Linked DNA regions of Schizosaccharomyces pombe. Changing the gene in region 1 together with any one later gene gives a genetic interaction. Each region holds a gene or a part of one and is shown in the gene's direction. Other genes may lie near its edges.

Region 1 (4,132 bases):
ACTATGCATTGGAAATTCCTATAAATAGTCGATGAAGTCTGCGAAACAAGGGAGGTAAACAGACTTAGTGGGTATTAAAATGTTGGTCAATCTTCTGCCGTCTTGATTTAAAAGCACTTCTCTTTTACTATTGTAAGACGGAATATGCATGCAAGATCGCTTTAGTTGGTTGAATGTCTCTTTCTTTGTGTTGTGGTTTGTTCGTTTTTTTCTAATTTGGAATATTATAAGAAACGTTGTTTTCTTGCAACATTTTGAAATGGTCATTCAAAAAGCTGGATTCGGTACCACTTTTCTTTTTACCTTGTCTTCTAAGCTCTGTTAAATTTCTTGATGGGGTCCAGTTAAACCAACCCCCAAGTTGGTTTATGTGAGCCTTGTCTCTTTTTTGGATGAATAGTAGCTTAGATAGTGATAGTTATTATTATGACTGATGGAATCTACTTAAAAATGGATTCCATTTTTTGTCTACTGTAATTGAATTCTTTTTGGTACACTTTTTGGCTGCATTGTTATCCTTGAAAGCACTTACAATGTTTAAACTTTGCGAATGACTGAAACAGAAAAGAAATAAAACGACTGTACCTGAACTATTGTTGAAACAATATTAAAACGTATTCCTGAAACAGATTAAACTACATTAAATTTTGTTAATGAATTAAACGTGAAACTTGAAAGTTTGATGCGAAACAAAACCCGCAGTTTGTTTAAACGCTTATTTGTGATTAAAATTGATGAACCAGTTTAAACTATGAAAGTGTTTGAAAACGTGCTGAAACCATTCGTTAAACCCTGCAAACCAACATAAAAAAAATTGAAAATAAACAATAACCACAGCAAGCTAATTCAATTCCAACAATGGTATGTTGCATTGGTCTTCGGTTGTGCTGTGCTCCCTCTTTTTTTGAGCATAGTTAAAACCATTAATACTATTTAAACATTTCTCTTTAAAAAAGAGAAGAGAATAGCAACACATAGAATTTCCAAATTCAACATGCCTTCAAATTTGAAATCGCAAGGAACAGCTATTAATGAATGAAACGAGTTAAATTGAAATAAATCAAACACTATAAAGATTATTATTCTATTTCTTGCTTAAAACACACTTTAAGGAATTGAAATTTTTCACGTAAAATGTTGATGAACTGGCTTTAAATTTACATGCAAGTCTTGATTGTGAAATGATGCGTTGGAAGCATGAATTGGTATTTTCTTTTTTAAAAAAAGCAATGAAAAGTTTGAAAAAGGCAATAAAACTTGGAGGTGGTTGGACTTTGCCGATTTCACGAAGTTTTTCTTTGCTGTTTGAAACTCAACCAAATAAATTAAACAGTGGTAGCAGCCCCAATTAAACTGAAAATCTATCAGTTATATGTTCATGAATGTGTAAAAGCAGCAGAACAGACAGATCCCAGCATTTTTCCCTTCTCTTTGCACTACATTATGAGAGGGATAACTGATATTCTGTAATGTAGATCTGAGAAAACGAAGGCAAAGCTAATCCCGAATGTAAGGTTTAGGGAGCTACTTGTTTTCATCCTTTCGAACGTAAGGCTCATAAAGTATCATTAATTAAACGTAAGAATAATAAATTTCAAACAAATTAGTTGTTCGCTATACCTACTTTTGTTGTGCAGCATTCCCATCTTCTTATCAAGTTTCACTTGATAACCGCTTCGAAGATTCAGACTTCATCCTTCTTAAACCACTACCGCCATCGCATATATATATTTATATACAAAGCAAGTTTACATTATTGTAGCTTTTATTAAACTGCTCGTTCAATTCTACTAAAAAAGGGATCCACTGATTTTGTTACAAGACTGACCATTAAATTCATTGCTATGCAAACCAAAATTTTTGCACGTCTTGCTGGCATTGGTCGGGCTCGGTTTGTTGGTACGATGCCCGACAAGACCAAATTCATCAGTAAATCTGGAACGTATCCACAAGGTTTCAGCTTAAATGGTATTGCTTCCGGCGTAAAAGCCAATGGAAAAAAGGATTTAGCCATTTTATTTTCCTCTCGACCATGCAACGCCGCAGCCGTCTTTACTAAGAATGCATTTCAAGCTGCTCCAGTTCAAGTTTCACGCCAAACTCTGAACGGCTGTGGCGGTAAAGATATTCACTGTGTCGTGTTCAATAGCGGTTGCGCTAACGCTGTTACTGGTGAGGGCGGTTTGATGGATGCCCAACTCATTACCGCCGAAGCTGATAATTTGACTCGTCCACATTGGACTTCGTGGACTGAGAATTCAGAGGAATTTCCCTCGTCGTTGGTGATGTCGACTGGTGTTATTGGACAACGTTTGAAGTTAGACAAGATTCAAAGCGGTTTGGAACACGCGGTTGAAGACCTCGGGTCCACTCATGAATACTGGATGAGAGCAGCTGAGGCCATTTGCACTACGGATACTTTCCCTAAACTCGTTTCCCGTGAACTTAGTATTGCAGGCAAAGTCTACAGGATTGCAGGTTTTGCCAAGGGCGCAGGTATGATCAATCCCAACTTGGCCACTCTTTTAGGTTTGTTTGTTACAGATGCCCCAATCTCAGTTGATGCAGTCCGATCTATACTTCGTCATGCAATTAACAACAGTTTCAATTCTATCAGTATTGATGGTGATACGAGTACAAATGATACAATTGCCTTCCTTGCAAATGGAGCTGCTGGTGGATCCGAGATTACCAAGTCTTCCCCTGCATACAAGGAGATTCGTGATGCTGTAACGGATATTGCTCAACAACTTGCAAAGCTGGTTGTCCGTGACGGTGAGGGTGCTACGAAATTCGTTACTGTGCAAGTCAGAGGCGCTAGATCAGAGAAAGACGCTGCGTTGGTGGCATCAACCATTAGTAACTCTGCATTGGTGAAAACGGCATTCTTTGGTGAGGACGCTAACTGGGGTCGTATTTTGTGTGCCGTCGGTTATTCAGGTGCTGCTGTCAATCCTCCTGCTACGACCGTTAGTTTTATTCCTGCAGACGGAACTGAACCATTGAAGCTTTTAGTAAATGGTGAACCACAAAATGTCGATGAGACCCGTGCTAGCGAAATATTATCGCAAGACGAACTCACTGTAGACGTTGATCTTGGATGTGGTCCTTATGCCAAAACAAATTGGACTTGCGATTTTTCGTATGACTATGTTCGTATTAATGCTGATTATCGCAGTTAAAAAAGAACAGTGGTCAGTTACCAAATTAACCAAGAGTGAGCTCTACGCTTTGATACCAAGAAAGCTTCATGTTTTTACAGCTTTAAACTCTTCAATTCAATTTGATGAACATACACGACGTTCGTTTACAATACGTGTCTAACAGAAAAAAAGGATTGCTGAGATGCATTCATTAACAAAAAAGTATGTATAAAAAGCTTTGCTTGCTTATGGTAGAAGTTTGCAATTTTAAGCGAAAGTTCATTATGCATGTAACATCAATCATAGTATATCATAATAACATGAATCTTTTCATTCGATTGCCTGCCTTAATTGAAAGGAGTTCAAGCCAGGATTAAATAAGAAGTGCATGCTAAAAATCAGGAGGTTTGTATTCCTCAACAAATGTTTGTAGCTTATCCCCTGTAACTATTTCGTCAAAATTTTTTAATAATATACCGCATTCCCTGCCTTTTTTAATACTGGTGACTTCTTCTTTTAAGTGTTTTAGACTGTCAATTTCACCAGACCAAATAATTTTGTCATTACGTACTAAACGTATTTTATGGGATTTTTCAATAGTTCCATTAGTAACTCGACAACCAGCGACATGAACAACTGCTCTTTTAGCTTTGATGTCGAAGATTGCACTAATAATAGCTTCTCCGGTAACACGCTGAACCAATATGGGCGGTAATCGCAAAGCAAAAAGTTTCCGTACATCATCCATTAAATGATAAATAACGTTGTGAAACAACAGCTTTACATTGTGTTTTTCTGCTAAACGAAAAGTAGCTTTCGGAACGGAAACACCGAACGATATAATGATGGCATCGGATGTTTCAGCTCTCTCAATATCAGTTTCGGTTACTGGACCCACCCCAGTATACAAGACTCGAGATTTTACCTTTCCAAATTGTAATGGTTTGAGATAATCTGACAGGGCCTCCATGGACCCAGTGTCTTCACAT
Region 2 (3,840 bases), 1.5 Mb from region 1:
TTTATTGCTTTAATGTATAAAAAAAATATTTGCTTATTAACCTGTGTTTGAAAACGGAGTTTAGGCACCACTTTACCAACTTCACAATTTATACAGCATTTTGAAGATAATGATAAATTTGTAAACAATAACAAAAAATAAGCTTGTTTGAGATTTTCAAATAACTTAAATTGACCTAGTACTTGTTGTCGTTTAACGTTAAGCTTAATCAATAGCCGAGTAATTAGTAAATGGGACTTGCCGAAAACAACGCTTTTCAACTTAGAAAATTTAGCAAACCCACTCATACCTTTTAATAAGCATGGTCAACGCAGCCATAGTTGTTTCCTCAAATCGTCCAAATGTGCTTGAACAGATTTCCTCCTTGTTTAGAGATGGGAAGACTCGTTCTCTGGGGGAACAGTGGACTTTAGTATCAGGCCAACTTAAAGGAACGTTTGAAGATGCTAAAGACGCTTGTAACCGCATTTCTGCTACTGAGAATGTAGACTGTAATTGCTTGAGTGAAGCAACATTTTCCACTAAAAAGAAGCTTGTAGTATTTGACATGGACTCGACGTTGATTCAACAAGAGTGTATTGACGAGCTCGCGGCAGAAGCAGGCATCCAGAAAGAGGTTGCTACGATTACATCTCTTGCAATGAATGGGGAAATTGACTTTCAAGAATCACTTCGTCGTCGCGTTTCTCTACTACAAGGGTTGAGCGTCGATGTCATAAATAAAGTCATTGGCAAAATTACTTTCACTCCAGGAGCTAAACAGCTTTGTCATTGCCTTAAGCAAATGGGTGCGACTCTTGTTGTCGCTAGTGGTGGATTTGTTCCAATGGCTGAATATGTCAAGGGACAACTGGACTTGGACTATGCATATGCCAATGTACTTGAATTTTCCGATGATGGTAAATTCCTCACTGGAAAAGTTCAAGGTGCAATTGTAGATGGACAACGAAAAGCTTCCATTTTGCGTGAAAAGAGGGAAGAGTTGGGTTTAAATAAGCTCGAAACGATGGCTGTTGGGGACGGAGCTAACGATTTGGTCATGATGGCCGAATCCGGTTTAGGAATTGCGTTCAAAGCTAAACCCAAAGTTCAATTATTGGTATGTTCGAAATTTTTTTACAAATTTATGTTTTTAATGATCTTACTAACTCGATTTTTTTTTTTAATTAGGCTGATTCGAAAATCAATCTTCCATCTTTGCAAAACGCTCTTTACCTCTTGGGTATTGATGAGCAACAACAAAAAAAGCTATTGGAAAACAAAAATTAATTTAGAATTTCCAAGAATTTTTCAATCGCAAGGCGCTGTCAAGAACTCTGAGCTACTGTGGCTTGGTTTTTATAAAGCAATATTTTACTTGTGCGCGTGGTCTTTTTTTCTGTAGTAGGAGCCGTCTTTTATATACCCTACTTCTTTATTTTTGATACTCTTATTTTTCTTTTTCCTTAATTTACAATTTTGGTATGATCAATGCTTCATTGGAAAGGGTGTGCAATGAATGCTTAAAAAAAAAGGGGCAGTTCAGAAGCTTTCTTCTTTAAAACAGACAAGAATTACTCAATTGGTTTTTATAAAGCCGATCATTTACTCTTAAATCTGCTTCGTTATGCTGATAGACTTTGAAATTGATTCGTGCAATGACTACACCTTCGTTTCATAGACCTTTCTTTATTATCATTTATTAATTGTAAATAATACAATTGTATCTAGTTATTAAGAGTTGCAGAAAACATGTGCTTTTGACGTATTTCAACACCGTTTCCCTTGTATATATTCAGAGGTATTCATATACTACTACCCATGCGAGATTCATTATGGCTAAATCACCATTCCTGGAGCTTTCTTACGATATATTGCTAGAAATTAGTACATATCTTGATTATAAAGATATAGTTCATTTGTCAGAAACATGCAAGTCACTTTCGTATGTTTTTGACGACAAAACAATTTGGCATCGATTTTGTGCACGGGTCCAAGGTCTCACCAATGTAGTCCCAGTTGTTGATGATAATTACAAAAGACCCTATGCTGTATGGAAAGACCGAGGATACGCTTACTCATGGGGGCAACAGATAAGAAACTATTTGGGCCGCGTCGTCAATACAAATCAGTATCCTCGAGATCGTCCTGGTGCATTGACTGGGAAGGACGTTCGTTCTACTATTCAGGTTCAAGTTGGGTAAGCGCATAGATACAGGAATTTATTTGACTGCACTACAATGACTAACTATTCCCTATGCGGAATTTAGAGGTTATGGGATGTATTTATTAAATGAAAACGGAAATTTATATGTTACGGGGGTACCAAACAATGTTGGGCCCGAATTGATGAGAGATTTAGAGCCAATTGTGAAAATCCATGCTGGTCGAGAGTTTTGTCTTGCACTCGGTGAGACGGGACACTTGTATCAAGTATCTCTAAAAACACGAATTTGCTTGACAGATGAACAAAATATGCTATCAGCCTATCGCGGAAGAATTGCTAATTTTAAATCAGGTTGGGACTCGCATTCGGCGTATGTGCCGGGCATTGGCTTTCTTGTCTGGCACACTGGACGAGAAAGTGAAGCGCAACTTTTCCAGCCAGAGGCATCGATGAAGGAATTCGTGCTGAACGATTATGTTCACTGCGCAGGATTCCTAGTGTATACTGTCGCATCACCTCAGAAAAAAGGCGCCGTGTTTCGTTTAGACCTGGACCAAGCTACACAACACACGCTAGGAAGAGAATTGAAGAGGTTCGCTTCGCACGACCCCCATCAAGGTTGGCATTTAGCAGGCAGCTTTGAAACTTTCACATGTTTATCGGACGATGGCAATACTGTTTACATGGGTCATGCTAATACCAAGCAGGTCGATGATGACCCGGTTATCCACGACTTTCTCCAGAACCGAGGAATTAAGCAATTGGCGCATGGCGATCATCATCATCTTTACTTAACAAGCGATCATTCCATATGGTCGTGGGGTGTTGAATTACGTTATTGTGGGTGTTTAGGTTTGGGTTCTCTTCATTTGCAAGAACAGACATCTGATCCCAGCATTGTTTCTGATCCACGCACCGCACGCAACATCGTTTCCATTCCACATCAAATTCACTTTTCAGGAACTTGCTATTCAGTTGCAGCCGGCGGATGGCAAAGTGCTGCTCTCGCCATTTCGGAATCTGTTTTACCCGAAGTCAATGTGCCTCCAATTACAACTTTTTCTATCATCCGACCATCCAGAGTTCCAGCGTTGCGCTTTTTAGCTGCCCCTGCGACTCGGACTTTGGAAAGGGACGGCTAGGTGAAATAGTGATCAACTTTGCTTGGTAAGCTAATTTCCGCGTGCGCACTAGAGAAGGATTTTATTTTGTCCGCTAAGTAAGTGAAATAAATAAATATCTCGGCCACCTCGGACTTCCGAATTTATCTCTATTTTTACTAATTCCTCTAGGTAAGCCAATTATAAAAAAAAGCAGCACAAGGAAAACACAACGGTGATTAAATAAGTGAGAAAATTTTTTTTCCTTCTTCCTGTATCGCAATTACATAAAGTACACACATTGACCAATTTATATTCCTGACCCCTGTGAATTAAGTTACTGTGCTACTACGACGAGTTTTTACCAAACATTATTATTTTTTTTAATTGATTTGGACTGTAAGGAAGGTTACCGATTTTCATATTAAATCCTCGGTGGTCAAAATTTGTTGGGCTCTTGCTCTCTATTTGTCGTTTGCGTTGGTGGTTTGTAATATTCCTAACCACCCCATTTTTTTCTGGCGACCCTAACTTGGGGGTTTTGTTTACAGATCCAGGTGTCGAGAAAACCGGTATTTTCAGGCAGAAATCGAT
Region 3 (3,804 bases), 1.4 Mb from region 1:
TTACAGAAAGTACTTGACTATAAGTTGGGTATCCTTCAATCTCTAAAAAATGATGGACCAAATGGCCCCAGCGCTTCCGCCATTGATAATGACTTAAAAATGCTGGAACAACAACTTAATGTTTTGGGACGTCACTTGGAAGGTCGGAAGTCTCAAGTGGCTAAGCTAGAGGAAAGGCTTCGTAGTCTGTCTTAACAAAATCTCGTTTATAAAGCTCATCATCTCAAATACTTGAGTCTTTGGATGTTTTCTTGGAAAATCGACGAAGGTACACTCTTTCTTTCTTTCTTTATTGGGCTTAATAAACTGTTCAAACAGGAAGAGGGAATTGGATTGTAAAATCATTCATTAATGTCCATCATTATATTTTTTGGTTTAATCGATACAAAACTTTTGAATTAGTATAAAAGGAGGAACTTATTCAGCTTTTATAATAAATACTCACTCTCTTTTTATAACAATCTAAAACCTCCTTGAGGTAAATTTATTACCCTGCTGTTAAGAAGAAACACAAGCGAATTCAGAACTATCAACTGGGTAAGAAGAAAAGATAATATAATAAAAACAACAAGCTTCGATTTATAATCTTCTTTTTCTAAAAAAAGTGCACACTATAATGTCTCCCAAAGCCTTCGTAACTCATACGCGTTTCATGAAAAGGATACATCCACAATCCTATTGTTCGTAAGGAGAAAAAATTGAAGAATTTATGCAAAAGAAAGCTCCCTTGTGATTAATATCGTTTACGGTTTAAGGACGACGCTTTGAAAACAACCGTTTTGATGCCCAACCTACAAGAGCTGCAACTGACACCACTGCACCAGCTACCACAACCATTCCAATGTATCCTTCTAAAAACGGGTTAGTAATGATTCTTTTCATTATTTATAACGCATCTTTCTAACATAAACACAACATTCATGCATATGTGATACCTCATTAAGTTTTATTAAAATAAACATACCTTTTGTAACAGCATCGTAAAGACGGTTTTTTAGCTTTAAAGCCTCTGGGCTATTTGGATCTTTGGATAACAACATATTGAGATAACGACGGGATTCTTCATACTGCTTCAATTTGTAATGGGACAAAGCAATGTAGTAGAGGCATTCCAAACGCCTTTCCGGTGAATCTTTGTAAATGCTGCAGAACAAAGATAATCCCTGTTGTACATGCTGTGTAGAATCTGAGCGTACCAATGCCCAAGCAAGGTTAAATTTGGTTTGTAAAGTAATCAGAGGTTGTTCTGCATCGTATTGTTCCTTGATTTGTAGAAACTCATCAACAGAAATAATTGAATCAATAGCAGAAGGATCAGCGAGGCGAAGGGTGTGTTTTTCAGTCATGATGTCGTTATTGCTTCCTATATTGGTCTTTGAATGTGCCTTAATTATTTTAAAGGCGGATTAATATAAATAAACGGAAAATGTTGAAAAAACTACAGTCACTTGAAAAAAAATTCAACAACTCAAATATAAAAGAAGAAAAAAAGGGTTGAGTATGATGCAAAAATGCTAAATTATCAATGTAAACAGCCAATTCCAATTATAAAGGATTTGAGGCGCAAATGAGTGAACTACAAGGATAATGGATTTCCAAAGCAATAGAAAAGTCCAGAAATCCGATTTAGTAAGAATATGGATATGCTTTTTCCACAAAAATTTGAAACAGAGAAGGAATGAAATGAAGATTCGTTTGTGAACGCCATCGCCAACAATTTATGTAAGGAAGAACTTAAGGATATGGCAAAACATTTCACAAAATATTTATTACAAATTGTGGCGTATTATGTAATTCACATTTGCGAAACGTACCGATAATAAAAGCAGTGTAAAGTAGCTTGTAACATGCCAGCTTTGTACTTAAGGCCTAACCAACATTTTGCCTAAGACTTGATATACTTGTAAAGGTGGTATATTCAAATATATTGAAAAAGTTCTTGATTTGTCTATAAAAAAAGTATTAAAAGGACTATTCTTTGTACCATAATTTTGGAAAGAGCAATTCAATCCAAAAAAAATAAGTTCTTGAGATATACCCAAGTTTCCTTTAAATAATGCAAAATGTACGTATTTCATCATTGAGAAGAGAATTATTTTGTTAGGAATTTCCCTCTTTTTAACTGTGTTACATGGTAAACTAATGAGCTTTGGGCATATTAGTTAGCTAGTCAAATACAAGAGAAAGCGGTTGATTCACAGCAACAACTGAGGACCATAATGGTACAGATTGCTGCCAAGGAACGGGCACTAAAAATAAGTGAATTAGCCAAAAAAGAGTTAGAGGATGTTGGAGAAGATAAGGCCGTATATACTTCTCTTGGAAAGATGTAAGTGTCATAAAATGAAACATGTATTTTTATTTTCTTTTCTATAAAAATAGGGAAAGAATACGGAATTAGCAAAAACAGCACTTTTGGAATGGAATTGACCGTACTGTCAATCTATATGTAAAGTCATTTACTAACTGTTTATTTACAGGTTTATGAAATCCGATTTGGCTTCCGTACGTACACATTTGGACGCAGAAATGGCAAGTTTAAGAGAAGATATTGAAGCACTACAAAAGAAACAAACATATCACGAAACAACGGCCTCAAATGCTGAGCAGCATTTACAAAAGATAAAAGAGTCGATTTCTTAAAACATCAATTATAATCATCTCATTGGTAAATTGGATTATGGGATTGGAAAGTTTATGACTTTCTTTTTTATCTTTAAAACTGTAGAATTAAAGTAAATTTGTTCCATTAATCTTCTTGCATTTCTAACAAATACTGGGGCATTTGTGAGCCGAAATTTTGATCACTGTGACTGCGCTTTTGTGTATGGATACTTAAATTTCAAGCTTGAAGACTTGTGAATTTAGTATATGTTATACTTTTAAGGTAAGTTTTCTACTGTTAGAATTGACGTTTGGAAAAGTAAATGGAGAAAGGATTTCTTTGATGATTCCAAAAAAGCATAGTTCAACTGAGCATCGTATGCTGAAACTTTTTCCATCTGATTTGCACGTCAGTCTGAGATTTCTCGTTCCCTTTTGTTTCTTTCTTTTTCAACGTCTGTTTGTCTGACTTTTGTGTTGGCTGTTTTACTGACCCATACTTTAAGGTGTTCTATATTTTTTCAAGGATATCATTAACTGTGTGGAAGCTGTTTTGTTCTCCATTAACTTCTGATTTCTTTTTGAGAGATGCACAAGGAATAGTTTATAGCTTACTTATAGTTTATGAATAAAATTATCCGAAACGAACTGTCACTAATCATTGTTTAACAAAGTATGTAGTAATGTATTAATATTAACTATGGCGACAATATTAGGACTTGAAGGTCTCTCATATCAGATGTTTGTTTCTGAATTAAAATAATAATTCTATATACGAATTGTGAAGTTGCCGTTAAATTATGATGGTAATTTGCTGTAGTTCTAGTTAAAGTCATTAATGTAGATCCTGCAGTTCAACTTTTTGATAAGATCTGCAGACAACTTTATATACAATAAATTTAGCTAAATAAAAGCAAAAAGGATTAAACACCATCGGTAAAAAAAAATAACTTTATTAGTTTATGGTCTATTGTACCCATACACTGATCAAGAAGTAATTTAAACATATAACATAAATTTTCACCTATGAAAGCAGTCTAATAAACACAAAATAACATTACTAATTATATGCCAAGAAGTTTAAAAAAAATTTAAAACAAAAAAAAAAAGAAAAACTGAACAATGGAACCTCAAATGTCGAGACTCATGATACTAATAAAAAATTTAATACTTAATTTATAAAATAGCATAACACACAAC

The links. Genes that interact genetically often act in the same process or in processes that back each other up.
Region 2: mutations in aga1 (region 1) and pof9 together harm fitness more than expected from each alone (negative genetic interaction), as found in Schizosaccharomyces pombe (one large-scale study listed by BioGRID).
Region 3: mutations in aga1 (region 1) and pfd1 together harm fitness more than expected from each alone (negative genetic interaction), as found in Schizosaccharomyces pombe (one large-scale study listed by BioGRID).

Annotation. Positions count from the first base shown.
Region 1 is NC_003423.3:335,851-339,982, reverse strand, and holds aga1 (glutamate N-acetyltransferase), read left to right. Parts: upstream 1-1,702; 5' UTR 1,703-1,844; coding exon 1,845-3,182; 3' UTR 3,183-3,534; downstream 3,535-4,132. Other genes in the region: mti2 (translation initiation factor IF-2Mt), read right to left, coding at 3,535-4,132.
Region 2 is NC_003423.3:1,870,033-1,873,872, forward strand, and holds pof9 (F-box protein Pof9), read left to right. Parts: upstream 1-1,800; 5' UTR 1,801-1,814; coding exon 1,815-2,179; exon of another isoform or gene 2,180-2,249; coding exon 2,250-3,288; downstream 3,289-3,840. Other genes in the region: phosphoserine phosphatase Ser2, read left to right, coding at 302-1,099, 1,171-1,269.
Region 3 is NC_003423.3:1,755,349-1,759,152, reverse strand, and holds pfd1 (prefoldin subunit 1), read left to right. Parts: upstream 1-1,894; 5' UTR 1,895-2,056; coding exon 2,057-2,065; exon of another isoform or gene 2,066-2,162; coding exon 2,163-2,329; exon of another isoform or gene 2,330-2,480; coding exon 2,481-2,643; 3' UTR 2,644-2,887; intron 2,888-2,930; exon of another isoform or gene 2,931-3,031; intron 3,032-3,110; 3' UTR 3,111-3,252; downstream 3,253-3,804. Other genes in the region: actin cortical patch component End3, read left to right, coding at 1-195; protein Fis1, read right to left, coding at 751-851, 965-1,346.